2 linked regions of the Rhinolophus ferrumequinum genome follow. The protein of the gene in region 1 purifies or fractionates together with the protein of each later gene. This does not show direct contact. Links are inferred from orthologs where the notes say so. Each region holds a gene or a part of one and is shown in the gene's direction. Other genes may lie near its edges.

Region 1 (10,941 bases):
GAGGATTGTACACCTGTCACCACCCCCAACCAAGGCCAAGACAGATCAGAGCGGGCCATTTGTATCGTAAGTCCCCACACCCCATCATCTCTGTCACTCACGCTTCGAAGCTCCAGTCCTGAGTCAATGACATGTCGGATGGAAGGGAGGGAGAAGGAGAAGTCAGCCAACCAGTGAGTGACCACAACCTTTCGGGCACCCGAGTCTGTGTCCTCGTACACAGCCTGAACGGCTTGACCATGGCCTGGGTGAAGGGGCAGCACCCGTGGTGGAAGCCCTGGGACAGCCAGGGTCCCCACTTCCCTGGACAAGAATTCACAGCACAGGGAAATTTCCTGAGGAGAGGGGTGGGGCATTAGTGCAGTTCTCACCTTTTTGGATCACAGACCCCTTTGAAAAACTGATGAAAGCTATGGCCTTTCACTCTGAAAAAATGCACAACCTCAAAGTTGGGGGAATTATAATTTCAGGAATTCACTGAATCACAAATCTCTGCATTAGACGGAATCAGAGAGGGGGGTAGACCTCTTAACCCTGAAATCCATGAGTTTTCCCTTGGAACCCCAACAGAGAGTGAATATTAGAACTTCAGTGTTCCTAACAAGCAGTGCTCCCATTCCCCGGGACAGGAAGACGGCATAAGCGGCAGCCTGTTTACCTCCTCACTGGGCAGGTACACCAGCACGTCTCCTGGAGCCTCCTTCCGACACAATTCAAGCACAGCTTGGCAGGCAGCTTCCACTCGATCAGTAGGGACAGTGTCCCTGTAGATGGGAGTGGGACACCTACCAGGCCCTCTGGGTACATGTACAATAGGAGGATCGCCCCAGAAGGCTTGGAGCTTAGGTTCAAAGGCTGGGTCAGTAACCACAACCACTCGGGGGTCGTCTGGAAGGTTTCCCAGCCTGGCATCTCGCAGCAGCCCCTGGAGTAAATCTGAGGCCACTGACCGCTCCTGAGCCTCATCCAGCACCAGCACGTCCCAGGCTCCAGTACCCCGGGTCGAGGCCACCTCTTGAAGAAGCAGCCTGTCCCAGCAAAATCTGTTGATGTTGACAGTGAGCAGAGGAGTCAGTGTGGACACTGACCAGCCCCAGAAGTCAGGGGAACTTCTCCCTAGGGGGCCTAGATTTTGATAGTGAAGGTCAGAAAGACCTTTTGACCGGATTCCTAAGCCTGTGGACCTGTAACAGTGACCCACAACCTCACTAACACTGTGCGTAAGCTGTACTCCAGCTGGGAAAGGGAGACTTGTGATGACGGTGAAGATGAATGAGGTGGGCTGGGGTTAAAGGGCTTCCGTGTTGCATAATGCATGATTTAAAGGGTGAGCTGGGCTGAGGGGGAGTATGGCGCGACGTTGGAGGACTGGGCTTATTCCTAGTGGGTAAGGGGAATTAGATGTGGGTTGGGCCTGTAGGAGGCCTCACCTGAGCAGGGTGTGGGGACCAGTGCAGTCCTCCTGGGGGATGCTATATCCAACCTCATGACCTAGGGTCAGGTCCATCTCATCAGCAACCCGCAGGGCCAGACTCAGGGCTGCCAGAGGGTAGGGCTGAGTGACAGTTACCCGGCCCTTCTGGAACCCCCTGGCCAGCGCAAACTCTGCACACCACTGAGGAATCTGGGGTAGGGGTAGGGAAGGACAATCAGTCAGCGAGACACAGGACTTCAGTCAGAAGTGCTAGGGGAGCTATGGCCAGTTTAATGTCTTCTTTCTGGGGGGAGTGTCCTGGTCCTTTACCACCCTGGGGCCAGCCTTAACAGACTCCCTTTGCCCACCTCCCCCATAATCCCTGGCAGCCCAATCCCCGCTTGCCAGGGAAGGGCCAGTTCCCTGGCCCCTCCCTCCTGTCTACTCCCAGAATCCCCCCCCCCCACCTGGGTGCTCTTGCCAGAGCCAGGCTCTCCAGACACCAGTACCACTCCACTGGGGCTACTCTCCAATTGCTCCAAGAAGATAAAGCGAGCAGCCCAGATAGGCAAGGCTCGGCGCTGCTCAAGAAGCTCGTAGTAGTGGGAAGAGAAGGGGAGCCCGTCAAAAGGGTTCACAGCCAGTTCAGACTCCCCAGGGCTCAGGCCAGACTCTTCTGCCAGCCTGAGAAGCTGAGAGGCCATGGTGGCTGACTGGCAGGACCTACAGAAGGTGGGGTAGTCATTAAAACCTTGTACCATCTTACCACCTCAGCCCTGATCCCTAATGTGTACCCTCAGCTGGTAATGCACTGGAATCCATTCTTTCCAGCATTTCTTGCCTGCCAGGAAACGGTGGAGAATTGAGTCTCCAAGTAAGGGACTATCAAAAGGGACTATTAACCTGTAGCCAGGTAGTACAAATCCTGGGTCTCTCTGTGAATCTCTGTAATTCAGCGGCAACAGGAGTTATGTGAGACCCGTGGGAAGGTCCCTGGGGGTGGGAGGGAATAGGAAAAGGAATAAGGGGCTGGAATTGAGGAGCAGGGCCACAAGGATCCTGGATTCAAACCTGCTTGCAGCTCTGAGACGTGTCCCGATGGCAGCCAGTTCCAGACCCGCCCAGCCAGTTCCCACCAACCTTGACCAGCGCTAAGTACAAAGGTAAGTTCCGGCCCCACCCTGGGGCTTGGCTCAAACATAATTCTTAAGACTGGTTCTGGGGTGGAACCATTTGCTCCACCTTATTTAACCTAGTCAGGAGCCTATAGAAAACAGGCTCCAGCAACGACTGAGCATGTGTTAACTTTACAGACACCATGTACTGTAAAAGGCATCCTGGGACGTGTAGTTTTGCTGCTATTTCTGCACAAACCTGGGCTGAACACCCCAGTTAGGTCCAGTTGCTGCTTGGTCTTCAGTTGTTACACTTCCTTAATATCACTCATTTTGACACGAGGAGGTGATTTCAGACAGTTCCATTCTGACCATCCCCCCACAGTCCTACAAGGACCACCTTATCCCCCCCCCCACCAAGGGAAAAGGAACGTGCTCAGGAGGCTTTTGAGACCCAGAGAGGCAACAGAGACCTTGAGTGAAAACCCTGAATTTAATGTGACACTGGGGGCAGGCCCATCCCTCCCTTTCTACCACCCACCCATCAGGCCTGTTGTGAGTTGGGTGAGGGCTGCCCCCAGTCTCCGTCCTGCGGCTCTGGGTACCATCCTGTGCTCAGTCAGCCTCCTGGGCCTGTCTCTCTGTGAATCTCCTGTGGGACATAGGGAGAAGACATTGTGTGGGCTTTGTCATAGTAGTTCTGTAATTAGCTTCCTTCTCCAACCTGCCCCTTCCTACCCATTGTCCTCGAAGCCCCTCACCTTCTTGCGTATTCGTATAGTGCTTGTTTGCGCTCCTGTAGGCTCTCCTGCCGGGCCCAGGAGGATTTGGCAAATGTTAGGGCTGTGGGCTGAGGGGTCACCGGGCCAGAGCTGGGAAACTGAGGTGATCACAATGTCAGAGGGCTTGCGAAGTCATCATCATTAAACACGCATCGAATGCCTACTTTGCAAGAGAGGCACTGGGCTAGGGTCTCAGGATCAAAAAAGAGACATCAGGGATAGGGAGTATGTAGAGTGCCCCATCCCACCCCAAGTCTTGGATCGGACCATTTCCTGGGTCTCACCTGGGGGGCAGAGGCTGCGGGATGGGACTGGGTCCCCTCAGTGATGTCTTCAGGCATGAAAGCTACAGCCCCCTCAAGCAGATTGGTGATGGTCAAGTCTACGCAGCCAGTCCTGGCTGGGGAGAAGGGAAGGAGGAAAGGGGATCTGTTGCGCTGTTCATCCTTTTCCCTCACCACCCATTTGTCCTCTCTGTCCCTGTCTTCTTTTGTGAGGCTACCCTTTCCCATACCCAGGTCTCTCTGGATGACGACCAGTGGCACATGGGGTAAAACCTCCTTGACTCTCTGAGCCAGAGTTGCCAGCTGCACATCAGGAGAAGGGCCCGGGGAGGGAGGGAAAGAAGATTGGGCTGCAAAAAAGAAATCCGAAATATGGTGAATGGAGAATGAGTAGGAAGGAGAGTCTGACTAGTACAGGAATAGGGAAGAAATCATAATAGGCTGGGAAAAAAACGAAAAGCTTTGTGTACAGCGACCACACACCTGACTGGGGGCGCAATCTAGGATGTCTTTGCCGCTTCATGTGCTCTGCTTTGTCTGCTGGAGTGAGTCGTGTTCCTGTCTGGCCCAATTTTTTGGCCACCAGCTAGGAAGAATTGGAAGGTTGGAAATGTCAAGGTTTCAAGCCTTCCTCCCCGTCTAAGGAGAGACCCCACCTCCAGCCTGCTTCTGTATGCTACCACCTGTTGTACACGGAAGGCAAACTCCTCATTCCCCTCTCCCAGCTGGCGATGAACAGGACGGAGCCACCTGAAAAAAACAATCAGGGCTATGTTGAGGGCAGCTGGGGCAGTCACCCTCTTCCCCACTTTGATTCCTCTTTTCATGGAACTATGGTGGTGAGGGTGGGGAGAGAATAAATACTTTGTACTGCCTCTGTGTTGGAAACTTGATATTAAAAAGATCTGCAAATGGATAGGGCAGAGGCAACTACTTCCTTGATCTTGAGGTGAGCTTTTCCCAGCCACCAAAAAGTGAAGACAATTAATACCTTACTTGATACACCGTGAAAGGAACAAACAGTGACCACAGCAGTTCTGAGACCCAGGAGGCATCTGACACTGTCTGAGGGGAAAGCACGAAGTGAGGTCTAAGTCAGGCCGGGACTGGGAAGCTTCATCCCAAAGCCCCGGGGAGTCCCTATCCAAGACACACTCACCACAGAGACTAGAGGTCTCTGGACTTGCAGGGTAAGAGGCTGTACCACATCCTGGATAGAAAATGGCCAGGAACTAGAAGAGGGAAGAGAGAATAGGACGGGATTTCAGCCAGTCCAGTTAGTAGCTCATATCTAACTTAAAACAGAAAACTGTCAAACTGTGTACCAAGTAGATGAATGAGGAATATAGGGATTCAGGGGAAGGAACCAAAAGTGGACAGAAAGGAACTAGAAATGGAGGGGGTAGGGCTGAAGAAGTGTGAAAAACCCAAGGGCCCCCCACGCCTGACCACCTACCCAGTCAGAGTCAAATACCTGTGTTCGTTCACCCACCTGAAGCGCAGGAGCCCCTCCCGGCCATTGGTGGCCTCTTCCTCTGGGAATAGCAGCAGAGGGGTAGGGGGAAGCCTCGTGGAAGCACAGAATCTCTTGAGTGACTCCACCAACTCCCCCCGCCCATCCATCTCCATGAAGCCCCGAGACCAGCATACAAAGCTGGGAGGACTATTGAGTAGAGGCTGGGAACAGGGAAGAGAGAAAGCAAGAAGAATGTTGGGAAGTGATAAAAACTGACATCTGGGGTAGAGAAGCGGGGTTAGCGTTAAGGCGCAGTATCTCGTGGTCCCCAAGGGAAGCCCGGGCGGGCAGAGGGAAGCCTTATGTTGGGCCCCAGGGAACTGCCCGTGGCACTCTCGGCTTCGCCCCCCACTCACGGTACTACAGCTGGTGAGCAGGTTGACTATGTTGTGGTCGAAAGGTGTCACGTGGTTGGAAATGAGGACCCTGACGCGGTGATCCCGGAGTTCGGAGTCCTCCTGCCGGGCCACGAGCCCTAGCACCGCACACATGGTCCGTACCACGAACCTGGGGACGCAGGCAGTGCTGACTGCACGGCCGTCGGCCCGGCCCAGCCTTGACCCTCCCCGAGCTCCCGGGTCGGAACCTGCGAAGGACGCTGTCTGGCAGCGCGCAGCTGACCAGGAAGACGTGGATCCCAAGAAAGAGGCGCAGGACAAGGAGACAGAACCCGACGGGCGCGTAGAGCAGCAGCGCTAGGAGCAGGAAGCCGTCACCCGGGAGCCTGGGGGCAAGAGGTGGGGTGATCGGGCGGCCGAAGGCCGAGTGGACGCGGGAGCCGGCCTCTTCCCGCCGGGAGTCTTACCGGTGCGAGTCAAAGAGCCGCTCCGGCCCCGGTGCCGGGGGAGGTTCCATCGCGGCTGCTTTAGGGGTGTTTGGTCACTGCCGCCATCTTCGTGCCCCGCCGCAGGGGCTTCTGGGAAGGAGGAGTCTTCCGGCGTGGGCCTCGGGTGCCAGGACCCGAAATCCTGAGGCGCCCCGGAAGGGCTAGCGGCCCCAGCATGCCTCGCGGGCCCTTGGGACACCTCAGTGCTCGCGTCCCTCAGAGACCACAATTCCCGGCATTCACGGGGCGGGGGCGGAGTCGGCCTCCCGGAATAATCCGGGTCCCGGCGTGCACTTCTAGAGGACTTCAGGTACCAGCGTGCCACGCGTCCCACGGTCCGCCAGCTCACGTCCATCCAGGGCGCCGCCTCTGTGTAGGGCGGGCGAGGAGGCAGCCGAGGCGGAGCTGATGGCTGCACTGAGGGCGGGGCGGGGTGCAGGCTGGAGACTCTGGGGATGGCGGGCTTTGGGGGGGGTTCGCTGGGGGAAGGGACCCCTGTTGACCCCTGACCTCCGGGCCCTACTGATGTCAGGAACTCCTGATCCTCGGGCCCTAATGACTTATGGGACTTCCAGGCTCCGGGTCCGGTTGTCTGTAGGGGTCCCTGGACCACGGACATGCCTGACGTCCGGGATTTCGGATTCCCGAGCACGGCTGACTGCGGGGACCCCAAGTCCCCAGACCCGGGAGAACTCAGGGAACCCTGGAGCCCGTCCGCGCGTGTGGCTAGCGGTGGCACTGGGCGCTGGAGGAGCAGTGCTGCTGTTGTTGTGGGGCGGGGGTCGGGGTTCCCCGGCTGTCCTTGCCTCTGTCCTTGGCTCGCCACCCACCTCTCCCCGGAGCCAGTACAACTTCATCGCAGACGTGGTGGAGAAGACGGCACCTGCCGTGGTTTATATCGAGATCTTGGGCCGGTAACGGTGGGGTAGTTCTGGAGGCACCGAAGCCGCGGGCAAGAGGGCGGGCGAGCAGGAGGGGTACGAGCTCCTCACCGTGCCTTCCCCCTATCCCAGGCACCCTTTCTCAGGCCGCGAAGTGCCTATCTCGAATGGCTCAGGATTCGTGGTGGCTGCTGACGGGCTCATCGTTACCAACGCCCATGTAGTAGCTGATCGGCGCCGAGTCCGTGTGAGGCTGCCTAGCGGCGACACGTATGAGGCCATGGTCACAGCTGTGGATCCCGTGGCAGACATCGCCACGCTGAGGATTCAGACCAAGGTGGGGATCCGAGCAGGCCGGGTCTGGTTGGGGCTGTTTGCTTGCATCGCCAGGTGACAGGTCCCTTGTACCCATTCTCCCGTAGGAACCTCTCCCCACACTGCCCCTGGGACGCTCAGCGGATGTCCGGCAAGGGGAGTTTGTTGTTGCCATGGGAAGTCCGTTTGCACTGCAGAACACGATCACATCTGGCATTGTCAGCTCTGCTCAGCGTCCAGCCAGAGACCTAGGCCTCCCCCAAACCAATGTGGAATACATCCAGACTGATGCAGCTATTGATGTGCGTCCTGATATGAGAGAATTGACAGTCTAGGTTGGGGGAGGGGTATAGACTGTGTGGTGCAGGCACCAAGTGGGAGAGACGGTGGATGAGCCTATATATTCAGGTTGAGCTACAAAAATGTGGCCACTCATTCATAGGCTGGGAAAAGAATTTGGAGAAAATGCCTACATCCTGGTTATGCCCCCAGGCATAAGAATCCCTGGATCTTTTCCATATTTTCTCCTTGTCCTGCAGTTTGGAAATTCTGGAGGTCCCCTGGTTAACTTGGTGAGTGGGTCATCCTTTCCAAGAATCCCTGCCCAGGTCAGTGTGGGTCGGGGTGGGTTTTCCCTAATTCAATGATGTTTGGTCAAGTTTCTGAACAGTCCCTTGTTGGCTACCTCCCAGAACCCAACCAGATCTCCTAAACTCCCCAACACTCCCTGCTACTCTTGTTCAGGTACCCCCATCTCCAACTATTTGTTTGGGCTAGGGAACAGTGGGCTCTGTCCCTGCAGGATGGGGAGGTGATCGGGGTGAATACCATGAAGGTCACAGCTGGAATCTCCTTTGCCATCCCTTCTGATCGCCTTCGAGAGTTTCTGCATCGTGGGGAAAAGAAGAGTGAGCCTGGCTTAAGTTGTGGGAAGGGCATTCATGGGGCCTTGCTGGAGAGGGGTGTATTGGGAGGAGAGGGAGGGGAAGGAAGAATGTAGCTGGGTGGGGCTCATTTTTCTCTTTATCATAGATTCCTGGTTTGGAATCAGTGGGTCCCAGCGCCGATACATTGGGGTGATGATGTTGACCTTGACTCCCAGGTATGAGCTTTAAGGATAATGACACATAGGACCATCAGTGTACTCAGTCGTGTGCATTTGCCACTTCATTTGAGCTTTGTTCTCAATTCTGTGTTTATCTGTGGTGAATTGCCTCACACTTGGAGCTATCCGAAGAGCTGTCCTCTCTTGTCATCTTGACTTTCTCATCACGCTGCATTTTGCACACCTGCCACCAGATTGATTTCATCCTATTACTGCTTTGATTTAAAACCTTCAATCTGTTAACCTGGTGTTTAGGGGCCATTTTCCATTTGTCTCCAATTCAACCTTCCTGACCTGGCTTCTTAACATGAATGTATTCTGTTTCAGCCAACCTGATTTCCTACTCCCAGGTTTTTATTTTTGTTGTTTTTGTTTTATATATTTAAATATCAGACCCATCCTTCTAGGCTCAGCTTCAGTTCTACTCCCTCCTTAAAGCTTCTCTTAGGATTTTAGAATGAGATTCGTGCTATTGATTTAACACTGTGTCATTTGGAATTAGGTAACTTTTGTATACACGTCCCACTTCCTAACTACTAGAAGGCAGAAAATGAATTGACTATCTGGAGTACCTAGTGCATACAATTGTCAGTGTGTTGACGAGAGATTTGAGGTGAACCTGAGATGGAGAGGGCATCTTGGTGTGGATAACAGGGTGGTCTGTGTCTTTCCAGCATCCTTGCTGAACTACAGCTTCGAGAACCAAGCTTTCCTGATGTTCAGCACGGCGTGCTCATCCATAAAGTTATCCTGGACTCCCCTGCACACCGGTGAGGGAGACACTGCACTGAGGTGGGGGGCGGAGACACGCATGTACCCTTGAACTGGGGTATCTATTCCCTCCTTTCTCTCTGTCCACCTTTCGCCATAGGGCTGGTCTGCGGCCGGGCGATGTGATCTTGGCCATTGGGGAGCAGTTGGTACAAAATGCTGAAGATATTTATGAAGCTGTTCGAACCCAATCCCAGCTGGCAGTGCGGATCCGGCGGGGACCGGAAACATTGACCTTATATGTGACCCCTGAAGTCACAGAATGAATGGATCAGCAAGAGTATTAGGCTGTTGCTCTGATTTCCACTTTGCTTTCTTGGCCTAGGCTCTGAGGGCACCTGGACAGAGGATTAAATGAACCAGTGTGGGGGGCAGGTCCCTTCAACCACCAGCACCAATCCCTGGGCTCCGAGGAATCACAAAAACACTTTTTATATAAAATAAAATTATACCTAGCAACATGTTATAGTCAAAAATGAGGGGGCAGGCGCTGATCTTCTTCCCCACACAAAGGCTAGAGGTAAAGCTGTATACTCCTGAACTGGGGAGATACTGCAGCTGACCATTCTGACCTCCCTCTTCAAGAGAATGAGCTGCTGCTGCTTTCGTTCTGGCCAGTTAATCAGGTGCTGCTCTTTGTGGCCTGCTCAGCTCAGCGCTGGGCTTGGGAGCCAGGATTCCCCATGTGTGGCCACAGATCCAGACAGCTGGCCTAGGAAGGAGGGCGGTAACTTCTGCCTGACAGCTCCACATCCATAGCGCACACCGGCCGAGTGTGGCGGCCCTGCTGACATCAGGGGTTCCTTGGTAAGCTCCTGAGGTAATGGCAGCCTCAGACCCCCGCCATTAGGGGCCAGTGGTGGTTTGCAGAGGTGGGCGGTAGCACCTTAGACGATCTGGTTGCTGGTCTGGCCAGGGTAGCGCTCAAACCTCTTGTTGGCCTCTTCACTGAAGGCATCATCTGCAAGGTGAATGGGCAGTTTGGGCAGGAGAACAGACCCACTGAGGGGAAGCGGGGGTAGAGGTGGACAGGCTGGGGGCTCCGGAGGTCGGGGGGAATGCACAGCAACAAGAAGAGAATGAGGCCTTTCCCTCCCATCCCCCAGTCTTCCTGCTGCTCTGCCCACCAAATACCAAGGTGGCAGTTGTGCACCCAGATGCGGTGGCCGTCGTATTTGCAGTTACATTTCATCGCGTTGTTGGTGTAGTCACTCTCTGCCACTTCAAAATTGGGGTTGATGACCACCTGAGCGGGAGAAAGGCAACATGATCCAAAGGTGTCTTTAATAAATACTCCTCCCTCAACAGCAGGCCATCTCAAACCCCAGGCACCTGCAGAATGTAGTTTCCTGGCTTCACATCTGTGATGTCAATCCACTGACAGTCAATGTCATGCCGGTAGAGATCCCAGCAACCCACGGTGATGCCCTGCTCGCCAAAGTTGGCACACTCGTACCTCTTGGAGACATCTGAAGGGATTTGGCACGTGTCAGTGTGAGGCGAGGCTGTGGGCTGGAGATACTGTAGTCCATTCTAGGCCCCAACTCACCCTCCTGGCACTCGGTGTCTTCCAGACAGAAACTAGCTTTGTGGCCCTCAGCCACCTTGGTGCCGTTGGGGGTCAGGATATCATAGTGAGTGAAGATGTCCATACTGTGGTAATGCCTGTGGGGATAAGGGACAAGGGGACCCGTTTTCCTTCCTGCCCCCAGTAGGCTAACCCTGTCCCCAGTGGACTTGCCCTTCTCCTTAATCCTCTCACCCATGACACTCATGCCACACCCAGGAGTGGCGCCCAGCCTTGGGCCTGAAGTCAGCTCGGCCCAAGTTGTGAATCTGCGAGGAGAATCGGAGTAGACGCCGGTGGCCGTAAGGCCAGTTGGCCAAGTGGGCCGAGCGGGCCAGGCAGTTCTCTTCCGCAGCACAGTAGAG
Region 2 (10,503 bases), on another chromosome or scaffold:
TATAGGTAAAAGAAAGGATTCTTTGCTCTGCTGGCTCTGGCAATGGTGATGGCAGCTGCACACTCCAAACTCCTTCTGTGGTGGTGAACTTCCTGCTTTTCTGATCTCAAGTAAAATATTCCCTCCTTGTTTGCATCTTTAGTCCTTCCAGCAATTTTGTAATCTTTTTGATTAAAATACCTAGAATGGGTTCTGGTTTACTGTACCTTGTAGTAGTCAAGGTGTTGTTAAAGTAAAAGGCAATAAACAGATGCTTTCAACCATAAAACAAAACTACACAAAACAAAAACCTCCAGGAAGACAATACTCATGGGCCCTTCTTGAAAAAAGTGACTTGACAGTGAAATTCAGCCAAATAAGAGTTGGATAAAAATAAAGGACACAGAAAGGAAGAACTTTGTTTAAAAGATGGATGATTAAAAATAAAGCAGAGGGGCGGCCGGATGACTCAATTGGTTAGAGCACCAGCTCTCAACAACAAGGTTGCTGGTTCAGTTCCCACATGGGATGGTGGGCTGTGCCCCCTGCAACTAAAGATTGAAAACGGCGACTGGACTTGGAGCTGAGCCACAACTAGATTAAAAGACAATGACTTGACTTGGAGCTGATGGGCCCTGGAAAAACACATTGTTCCCCAACATTCCCCAACAAAAACATTAAAAAAAATTAAATAAATATAGCAGAATAAGGGGATAAGAAATGCACAGTGCCTGGCACATAGTAGGTACCCAGTATATTAAGTACTTAATGAATGAATATAGGGTGGTTATGGAAGACCATGCTTTTAAGGTGACATAATTGAGCAGAAACCTTTATGATTAAGGGAGTGAAAAATGGAAATTTTGGGCAATAAATTTTTAAGTCAGGTTATAAAATGTTACAAACATCAGGAAAAACACCATCCTTACTATCTGCATTTTATAATAGAACTACGTAGGTGATTATGGCAGCTACCACCACCTGATGGCAGCACACTAAGTAAAACCATTGAAGGAGAGATCCCGTCTGTGGTGGTGAAACTAAACTGAATGGAGGCAAATATCACAGAGGCCTAAGAATTCTGTGTGGTGTCTCTAGCCTCTGAATCGGAAACTTGTTAGATATTTCACTGGACTTTCTGATTTCATCAGAAAACACACACACACAATATCTCTCCTTTATAGGTTTTAAGACTTCCAGATTCCATTCCTGTATTATAAATCGTGAAAAGATCAGATTTACTTTGCCTACCTTGTTATCTTTGCTTCTCCATTTTGAAACACATCAGCGTAACGTGGTCACCATTGCTTTGGGGTGGGAAGGGGTGTCTTTTTATTACCTGGGCAATCCAGATTATATAGCCATGTGAAGACCTGCTGATTTTATAGTGTCTCTTTTCCTATAAATAATTGGAGCTCTTGTCTTTGCACTAATTTTGTAGGATTGCCAGTGTTTTGTTAAAACACAAAATTCAACTGAGTAAATTTGAAGAGTAGCATGCCATCTAGCACCTGTAAGATTACTCCAAGTCGTTGTACAGAAGGAAGGTTTTTATTGGAAGAAGGGTAGGGCAAGAGCGCTATAGACAAAAGAAAAGAAAGGATTATTTTTAGACCAGACGTCTTCTTTTTTGGGGAGAAGACAACAAAAAGCAAGAGTTTTTATCATGCGTATTGCCTCTTCTGTCTTTGGGGGAATGGGGCCTTTCTTTGAGGGCCCAAAGATTACCTTACTGGTGTTTGACCAGAAAATTCCAGATGATTTGATTAAGATTACATTTCTGGGAGAGGATAAAACTGCAATTAGATCGGGTATTAACTCTAGGTTTGGTGTCATTGGCTTTTATCACCAGTGATGCCATTTTGGGCCTGTGATTTTTCTCTATAAGAGTTCCCACATCTAAGTATAGAGAAGTGGTGTCTTAATTGTTCAATTCGATTAATGTTTATGGACAAGCCAGAGTCTATGTAGAGTAGCACACAGGGTTTGCGTGGTCTGCTCCTGTTTATACTTCAGGTCAGAGCTTGGGTGCTGCCTGCACCAGAAGGACTTCCTGTGACTTCACTCCTGCTGAGGTTTCCCTTCGTCTCATACCCTTTAACTTATCATACCACATTTAATGATTTGTTCACTTGTCTCTCTTTACCTTTTGCCTGGGAGCTCTGTGAGAACAGGGAAGGTGTCTATCTTGCTCATGATTGTATTACCACTTCTGAGCACAGTGGCTGGCACATAGTAAGTATCCAGTATATATATTTTCTCGAATGAATAAATTTCCAGGATCCTTAGTCCTCTCTCTCTTTTTTAAATTCTCAAAATGTGTTCCGTTTTTCATTGTTAAAGAAAAAATAATTGCTTAATCCACAGCAACTCAATATTGTTTACACTTAAATTCTTCCCCTTGTAATTCCTCAGAACAAGGGCATTACCTTCCTAACAATAATATAATTATCACAACGAGGACATTAACAATGATACCTCATCTACAGATTTTGTTCAGATTTTGCCATTGATGTCCTTTGCAGCAAAAAGAAAAATGTTTTCACTTACCCAGGATTCAGTCCTAGATCACAAGTTGTATTTAGTACTCATACCACTTTCGTCTCCTTTAATCTAGAGGAATTCCTCAGTTTTTGTCTGTCACAGCAATGCTGAAGGATGTGTAATTTTGTAGACTGTCCCTCCGTTGGGGTTTGCTGATATTTCCTCATGATTGCACGCGTGCATTTGTGACAGGAATACCACAGAAGTGATGTTGTGTCCTTCTCAGTGCATCATATGATGGTGTCTATTTATCCCATTACTCGTGATATTCATTATAATCATCTGAATAAAGCGGTATCTATCAAGTTTCTCTACTATCATTAGTAACTTGTGAGGAGATACTTTGAGGCTGTACACATAATCCTGTTTCTCACCATATTTTCACCAATTAGTTTTAGCATCCGTTGATGAGCCTTGCCTGATATGACTATAACTCATATGGTTGTCAAGTGATGGCTTCCAAATTCCATCATCGCATCTATCTTTGGAATTTGGAATTCTACCTTAACAGTAATTCAGTTATTTTTTTAAAATCATTTTCCTTTTTTACTGTAGTTTCTAAAAAATAAAAAAGGCTTTTCAACAGCTTACTACTTCTGCTTTATACATATACATATTTTACATCCTCCAAGCACCTGATGAATTATGGATGCATTGTTTCCCATTGCAAAGCCCTTGTAGACTTTTCTAACTGGCTGGTTACTCAGGTGAGTGCTCAGTTGTCCCATGTGGGAGAGTCCTGTAGGATCCCAGAGGACTGTAAGAGCTCTGGGAAGGACTTTGAAACAGAGAAGCCTGGATTCAAATGGTTTTAGCCTCTTACCCCCTGAGCAACCTTAAGCTAATTATTGGACCACTCAGGGTCTCACTTTTATTCCTGTCTGCTTGAAGGCAGAAACCACATCTCGACTCCACTTTGAATCCCTCATACAATGTGTGCACAGGTAAACCCACAGTTCATGTCTGTTGAACTGAACTATATCGCTTCTATAGATATCTTAGTCCATTTTCTTTTTTATTTATTTGAAGAAGCTCCTTTGTCTTCAAATCTTTTTAAAGGTTCTTCTAAATTCCTTTGAGGCCATTCAGTTTTTGGTTTACATCTACCTTTCTACACTTTTAAGTTTTGCTCCTTTTGCATAGGTATGTTTCTACTTTCAAAAATATGGTGCTGTTTCTTTATCTTGGCAGTTCCATTTAGATATTTATAAATACTTTTCAGATTTCTTTCTGGCTACTTAATGTTTTGCATTTCTACTTTTTTAAAAAAAAATTAAACTCACCCTTTGTTTTCATTATTTTTTCAAAAATTAATATTGCTTTCAGATAAGAGTCAAGGGAGGATGGGGAGAAATTTCATTCTTATTTGCAGGGGAATCAGTGTGGATATTTCCCGTTCCACCCCACAGGGCAAAAGTTAACTCTTGTTTTTGGTATGTGGAGGCTGAATCAAAATCTCTTACTCCCCCTCAATTTCTATTCATTACTTAGGTTTGAAGAGTGTACCTAAGGTTATGTAGCAGCAAATTTTGATTCCTGATTCTCAAGGTTAGGAACTTGCTAATCAATGCTTCCTTCTTGTAAAATAGTCACATCAGTCTTCTGGAAATAAAACAGGAAAGCCTGGGTAGCAGAGATGTTGGATGCCTTGAGTCACATTCCCTAGCCCTTCCTCACTCTGATTTCACCCACAGCTGTAATGATGGTTCTTTTGTAAGCTCAGATTCATGCTGCCTGTATCCCACCCCAAAAGCAAGCATACAGATTCTGCTTTTCTACATCAGGTTAAGGAAGTCCTCTCTATTCTGTGCACAAGTACAATTCAGGAGGGAAGGGAGTTAACAGCCCTGGTAAAACTCTCAACCAGTACAAGACAAGAGTAGCGAATAAATGCTCCAACCTCAAGAGGGATATTCAGGGGAGCATTCTGTATGTTTTCTCAGAGGTCCTCAAGGAATAAGCAGTGACTTCAACAATGAACCTTGATATTGACTTTTTTTCTTTCTTTTCTCATTCTTCTTTACCCATCAGTTCTGTTCCCTGGAAACAGAAACTTCTCAAACTATCAGCACCAAAATCATTGTCCCAGGATCTGCCTTTGGGGGTGCCCAAACTAAGCCAAACTTCATTCAACAAACATTTACTAAGTGACTGTTCTATGCTAGGTAGTGAGATAAAAGATCTAGAAGGTAAAATTCCTAGTTCCTGCCCCAAAGTGTATAATTGGGAAACAAACAAATAAATGGTTACAAAAAAAGTTACAATATATCGTTGGAGATGCTATGTTCAAGTGGCAAGAATAGAGAGATGCATGAAGACATGGGGGAGGAGTCACCTAACCTATACCTCGGAGGTATACATTGCTTGAGCTAATGGATGAAGCGGATCAAATACAGCTAGAAGAACTCCATATCATACAAATGTCAACTGAATACTCAATTGATACCTCTGTGTGTTATGCTCTGCTCTGTTGTGGTATGCAGTACATGACATGATTTTAGGTAATACATGGATGGACATTTTAACTTTTTTGTGGTTATTATGTTAATGTGTACTAGAATAAAAATAAGCAACACAATAAACTTGACTTTACAGAGTACTACGGTTTAGGATGAGGCTTATTTAATGAGTTGAAATTGGCTTTAAAGAAAAACACTGAGTAATAATACCTGGATGCAGATTGGCAAAGATTGTGTGGATGGTATGCAGATTAATGAAGTTTGGGAAACAGTGCTGTAGAAGAAGGAAAATCTAAAAAGAAATTCCTGCCTTCTAGAAACTCAACAGTTTGTTAGGGACACACAAACCCATAAGCAAGGATAATTAATGTTATGATAAATTTAGAAACCATGTACAGGGGAAGATAGGAAAGTAGTAAGGAGTAAAGTGAAGGAGAGGCTAGAGTCTACAGGATCAGTTGGAAGGCTATTGCTCTAGTCTAGGGGAGAGATAATAACTGCCTGAATTACGGAGTGGCTATAGAAATGGAAGGAAGACAAATAATGTGACAGGCTCATTGCAACCATCCTGTGAAAACCTTACTGGTTGCAAACAGCACGGAGGTGAAACCTGTCCAGCCAAGTCCAGAGCAGTTTTGTATACACACACACACACACACACACACACACACACACGGAGTGGAGAGCTGAATTAATCAATCAACAATACTATATTAGAAGCATGTTTTTATTTGGCTTCAGTTATCGGAGCGTTTTGGTGTGAATTACTCCAACATTTGCCCTATTTTTTTTTTCTGCTTGACTCAGAGGCTAGAGAAACGCTGACATAATAACGCTTTCTACTTTTAAGAGCTTTATATTCTCCATCCTCAAAACAGAAAACTGACTTAAAGGAGGTTAAGTAACTTGCTGGAGGTAATGCAGCTAATAAATGAAGTAGAAAGGATTAAACCCGGCGTTCTGCCTCTAGAGTATCTATTCTTAACACACCACCAGAATAAACAGATAGGGCAGACAATGCTAAAGCAGGTCAAACGTCAGTGTTGGATCGTGAAACACTCTCATTGGTGGCAGACGACCTAGTACTGAGATCACGGTTTCTCCATCTGTAAAGTAGACATATGACACTAGGAGTTTGGTGCAAAGAAAGCGATAATGAATGTAAAAGTGAATTTCAAATTATGTATGTGGCACCACAGACCAGTTTTGCGTAATATGAATACGCGAACTCGTAACTGCTACGAACCAGTCTGCGAGGCTCGTAGCGCCAGAGCGAGGCCCCGCCCCTGAGGCTCCGCCCACCGCGAGCGGCAGGTGGGGCCGGCAGATCTTCCTTGCGCATGCGGAAACTGCTGCCCGCTCCCACCTCTAACCCAGGCTGAGAGTAGCTGCTGTTTCTGAGAGGACGATTCGTAAGGAGGCTTCTGGCGCGGTTTCCATTTGCTTTCCCTTCTGCGGGCCCTGGCCGTACTTCAGCGGTGTGTAGACCGTGCTCCGTTCTCATCTACCTGCCCGACTTTCTGCAGAGGTGTCTGTCATTGGCCCAAGAGTTCGCTGTCGAAAGTGCCGGCCCCCGCGCCGGCGCCGGCTGTAGCCGGGTGGGAAGGCTCAAGATGGCGTGCCTGTTGGAGACCCCAATCCGCATGAGCGTCCTCTCGGTGAGTGACCCGCCGCAGCCGCCCACCCGGGAGCTCGGGCCCGGCTCGCAGCATTCACCCAAAACGCAGCGTGTCTCCTGGGCACCACCCCTTAGGGTCGCCTCCGGCTCAGCTTTGGGCCGGGGTGTGAGAGAGGGTGGGCGGGAGTGATAGACGGAACCCCGGCCGAGCCCGAGACGTCTCCAACTCCCGGAGCTCCTACCCGTGCCGGTTCTCAGGACGGCGTCCAGCGGGTGGGGTGCTTGGGCGTACGGGCAGCCGGCTTGGCGACGCGGCTCTGGCTTTGCCAGGCGCTTCACTGAGCCTTTCTCTTAGTGGTGCCGCTTCTCTGGGGCGCAGGGCTCTGTCCTGTAAGGCGCCGGGCTTGCCGCTGGCCTGAGAACTAGCGCCCACTCTGCCCCCCGAGGCTTTGGCAAGAAGAGGTGCAGGCTCCACAGCCTCCGAGATGCCAGGCCAGGTCTGTGTGGCTTCTGTCGCGTCTCAGCACCCGGGCACGGGCTAGAGCAGCTAGCTTCTTGGCAACGGGGATTTCATATCAGTTGCAACGTCTCCCAGTGTATGTAGTCATTTAAGTCCCTTTTCTTTACTTTGGAGGTCGCAGCTCTGAATCTAAAGGAACCTTCGCCTAGCATTTCTTTTTTTTTTTCTTCATGGGGAGTCAGACGTTGAAACAACAGATCAAATTTTCCTATTATTGAAAGAAGAGAACGTATTGACATGCCAGGAAGTAATACCTAGTTTTTGTGTGTGTTTTTTCCCTAGCATAAAAAATAAAAACAAAACAGGACTTTCATTATGTTACTCTAGAGAGAACCAGTACCAGAGGTGAAAGTTACTGGGCGATAACTTGGAAGGGTTTTGGAACAAATTAGATCCATCCAACTCTGAGTGATCCGTTTACCAACGGTCCATTTGCTATTGCTGGAAACAAGCAGGCAAACACTGGTTGACCATCTTTTAGACTTCTGGAAGAGTCAGTCTGATATTGAGGGGGTAGTTGGGTTACAGACGACTAGTCAGATTCTTAGGGTCTGTGACTCCAACTGGTTTCTTTTCTCTTCCCTAACTTCTCCCACAAACACACTCAGATATCTTGAAGCACCTAGGATATTTGCTTGTCATTCAGGGTTAGAGCATTTTGGTATACTGCAACCTTGATAATTTAATTGGGGAGGGGAGCTGTCAATAAATTTGTCTCCTAATCCACTTTAGCAGTCCTTTTTCTTACTTTTAAACTGCAACTAGGGGAATACTGTTCACCTAAGTATTGAATCAGATTAGCCGATTACTCCACCTCTGACTATAATAGCCAGGAATGTTTTGTGGGAGAGCAGGCCAACGACTTTCCCCTCATTTTTTAAGAAAGTACGTGTCTTGACTGTTCTCAGTTCCCTTTTACTTCCTCTGTCTTTTATTTCACCTGAAGCTTCTTTAATTTTTTAATTTTTGTTAACTTGTATAGTGCATACAATTGAAAATTTTGATTTGTTTCATGCCTTCAGTAAATAATATTTCCTGTTTAAGTTTATTAAAAAATTTCTTGAAGAGTATTCTCTACTTCTAGTGGGGATTTACTTTAGCCCTAGTCTCATTGGGGGCTTTATTATTCTTATTTTTTTTTAAGTTTTTACAGTCCAAAAGTCTGGTCTGTCCATTCTTCAGTCCTAGAGCCTTAGGAAATCAGAGATTTGAATAAGTGACTTAAAACTCACTGATTATACTAATTTAAAGTGAATCCTGTTCATTTCAAAGTACTGCCCAGGGCGTCACTTTTTGAAACTCAACGTGCAAGTGGAACAGGAAATAGTAATCAAATTATCTTTAAAATAATTGATTTCTTTAATAGGGTACTTATTGTGCACCAGTTATGTACAACACCCTGTAACATATACTTTAGGGAATGCAAGGATGAGATCAGATATGCCTCTCAGGGAGCTCACAGTCTGAATGACTCGCTGCTCAACGGAATTCGTGTGAGGGGCAAATCAAATGGTTTCTAAAGGGTTTTTATTCAAGGCCTGTTATAGGTTCTTCCTTCTAGTGGTCTTATTCACTCTTGTGACCATAACTGTGATCAACTCACACATGTACATTGCCAGCCTTGACTTTTGTCCATCTAATGTCACGTCTTCAGTTGTTTGGATGTTATCCATCACTTTCAACAAAACACATTGCATCTCCTAAGAAGACTTAGTCATGACTTCCCATTTCTGTTAATGGTACTACCATGTTTCCCCGAAAATAAGACCTAGCCAGATAATCAGCTCTAATGCGTCTTTTGGAGCAAAAATTAATATAAGACCTGGTTTTATTTTATTATAAGACCAGCTATAATATAAGTCTGGGTCTTATATTAATTTTTGCTCCAGAAGACGCATTAGAGCTGATTATCTGGCTAGGTCTTATTTTCGGGGAAACATGGTATCTTTAACTGATAACTTACTGTAAACCCCTTGAATTATCTCTGGCTCTTTCCATTTTTCATGCTCCTGTATCTAATCAGTCCTTACATTCTGTTAGCTCGTTACTCTTGGTGTCTCTCACATCTGTCTGTTCCCATGGTCACCCTCTCATTCAGAACATTATCATTTTGGGCCTGCATTACCACAGTGTCCTTGCAAGTATTTTTTACTGCCTCGAGTGTCTTACCCTCCCAGTTCAAGTTCAAGTTCATTCTCTACATTAATTTTTCTGTACAATACATTGGATATGCCATGCCCTTTTTCAGTTTTTTAATGGGTTTTTATTGCTGAAGGGCTGACATTTCATTCTCAGCTTCGGATGTAAGATTCTTTATCCTCTATGTGGACCTTCCATCCCTTGTAAACTGGCTTTCTCAAGTTGAAGTGATCTAGGGTTCACCCAAACCCCAGTAACTCTTATTGTCAGCCTGCTTGTTTGTACACATGAATTATAGCTCTGTATAGATTTATTCACGTGATATGCTTTGAGCTTCTGTCATTTACATGGCATTGGGTTTGGGAATACAGTGGCGAGCTACACAGACCTGTGTCTGCCCTTTTGGAGATTTTAGCCTAATAGGAGAAGTAGATTTCAAATGGTCACACAGTTCTTTGTTTATGAATGGCAGTTAGTGTTATGAATGAAAAATATAGGGTGCTGTTATAAGCAGGTAATAGGGGAATATGATCTACGGTGGAGGGCAGTGAGGTTAGGGAGGGTTTCCCCGAAGATGTGACAATGAGCTGAGAGTTAAGGATGAGTAAGAATTAACTAGAAAAATAGAAGAGCATTTTATTTTTCTAAAAGCAAAGGGAACTGCTTTTTCAGAGACTCTTAGGCCTTTAATAGTTACTCTATTTTATCTGCTTAGAGAGTAAATTAATTTAATTTTTCTTAATCCTGCTACTATTTATAGCACTGTCCTCATGTACTATGTACTCAATAAATGTTTGATTGGACTATATTTTGGGGAGTTGGACAAACTCCAGCTCTTTCCAGGCTGCACCATGATCACCCATTATCCTCCTTTGGTGTGCACTTAGCGTTACATCACCCCTTTCAACAAATTTATAAATTCTCTCATGTTTCCCAAACTGTTGGATGATTTTTTACATCAATTGCATTTTAAAAAACAATCTTTTTGAAATAATTACAGAGTCACAGGAAGTTGCAGAGAGATTCCTGTGTATACTTCACCCAGTGTCCTCCACTGGTTACATTTTATATAACTATAGTACAATATGGAAGCCAGGGAATTAATAGTGGTATAAGTATGTGTATAGGTACATATTATTTTATCACATGTGTATATTTTTGTAACCACCACCACAGTCAAGATACAGAACTAGTCTATTTTGTTGGCCTCAAGCTGCAAATTGATTGTTCTCTTACATAGACAA

What was found.
Region 2: the proteins of HTRA2 (region 1) and ARMC8 purify together in Homo sapiens (affinity purification with mass spectrometry; 5 studies listed by BioGRID and IntAct, with this or other methods). This does not show direct contact. The link is inferred for Rhinolophus ferrumequinum from reciprocal best matches to the Homo sapiens genes HTRA2 and ARMC8.

The regions. Positions count from the first base shown.
Region 1 is NC_046296.1:17,527,699-17,538,639, reverse strand, and holds HTRA2 (serine protease HTRA2, mitochondrial), read left to right. Parts: upstream 1-6,323; 5' UTR 6,324-6,345; coding exon 6,346-6,851; intron 6,852-6,950; coding exon 6,951-7,155; intron 7,156-7,240; coding exon 7,241-7,435; intron 7,436-7,672; coding exon 7,673-7,741; intron 7,742-7,935; coding exon 7,936-8,041; intron 8,042-8,165; coding exon 8,166-8,235; intron 8,236-8,912; coding exon 8,913-9,008; intron 9,009-9,109; coding exon 9,110-9,275; 3' UTR 9,276-9,307; downstream 9,308-10,941. Other genes in the region: ATP-dependent RNA helicase DQX1, read right to left, coding at 1-13, 102-335, 659-1,043, 1,431-1,624, 1,882-2,175; lipid droplet-regulating VLDL assembly factor AUP1, read right to left, coding at 3,145-3,181, 3,291-3,409, 3,596-3,711, 3,826-3,945, 4,079-4,181, 4,279-4,345, 4,587-4,660, 4,755-4,827 and 3 more; LOXL3 (lysyl oxidase homolog 3), read right to left, coding at 9,897-9,970, 10,144-10,255, 10,342-10,478, 10,559-10,674, 10,772-10,941.
Region 2 is NC_046300.1:37,364,842-37,375,344, forward strand, and holds the start of ARMC8 (armadillo repeat-containing protein 8), read left to right. Parts: upstream 1-6,019; 5' UTR 6,020-6,595; coding exon 6,596-6,640; intron 6,641-10,503. UniProt on the Homo sapiens protein: Component of the CTLH E3 ubiquitin-protein ligase complex that selectively accepts ubiquitin from UBE2H and mediates ubiquitination and subsequent proteasomal degradation of the transcription factor HBP1.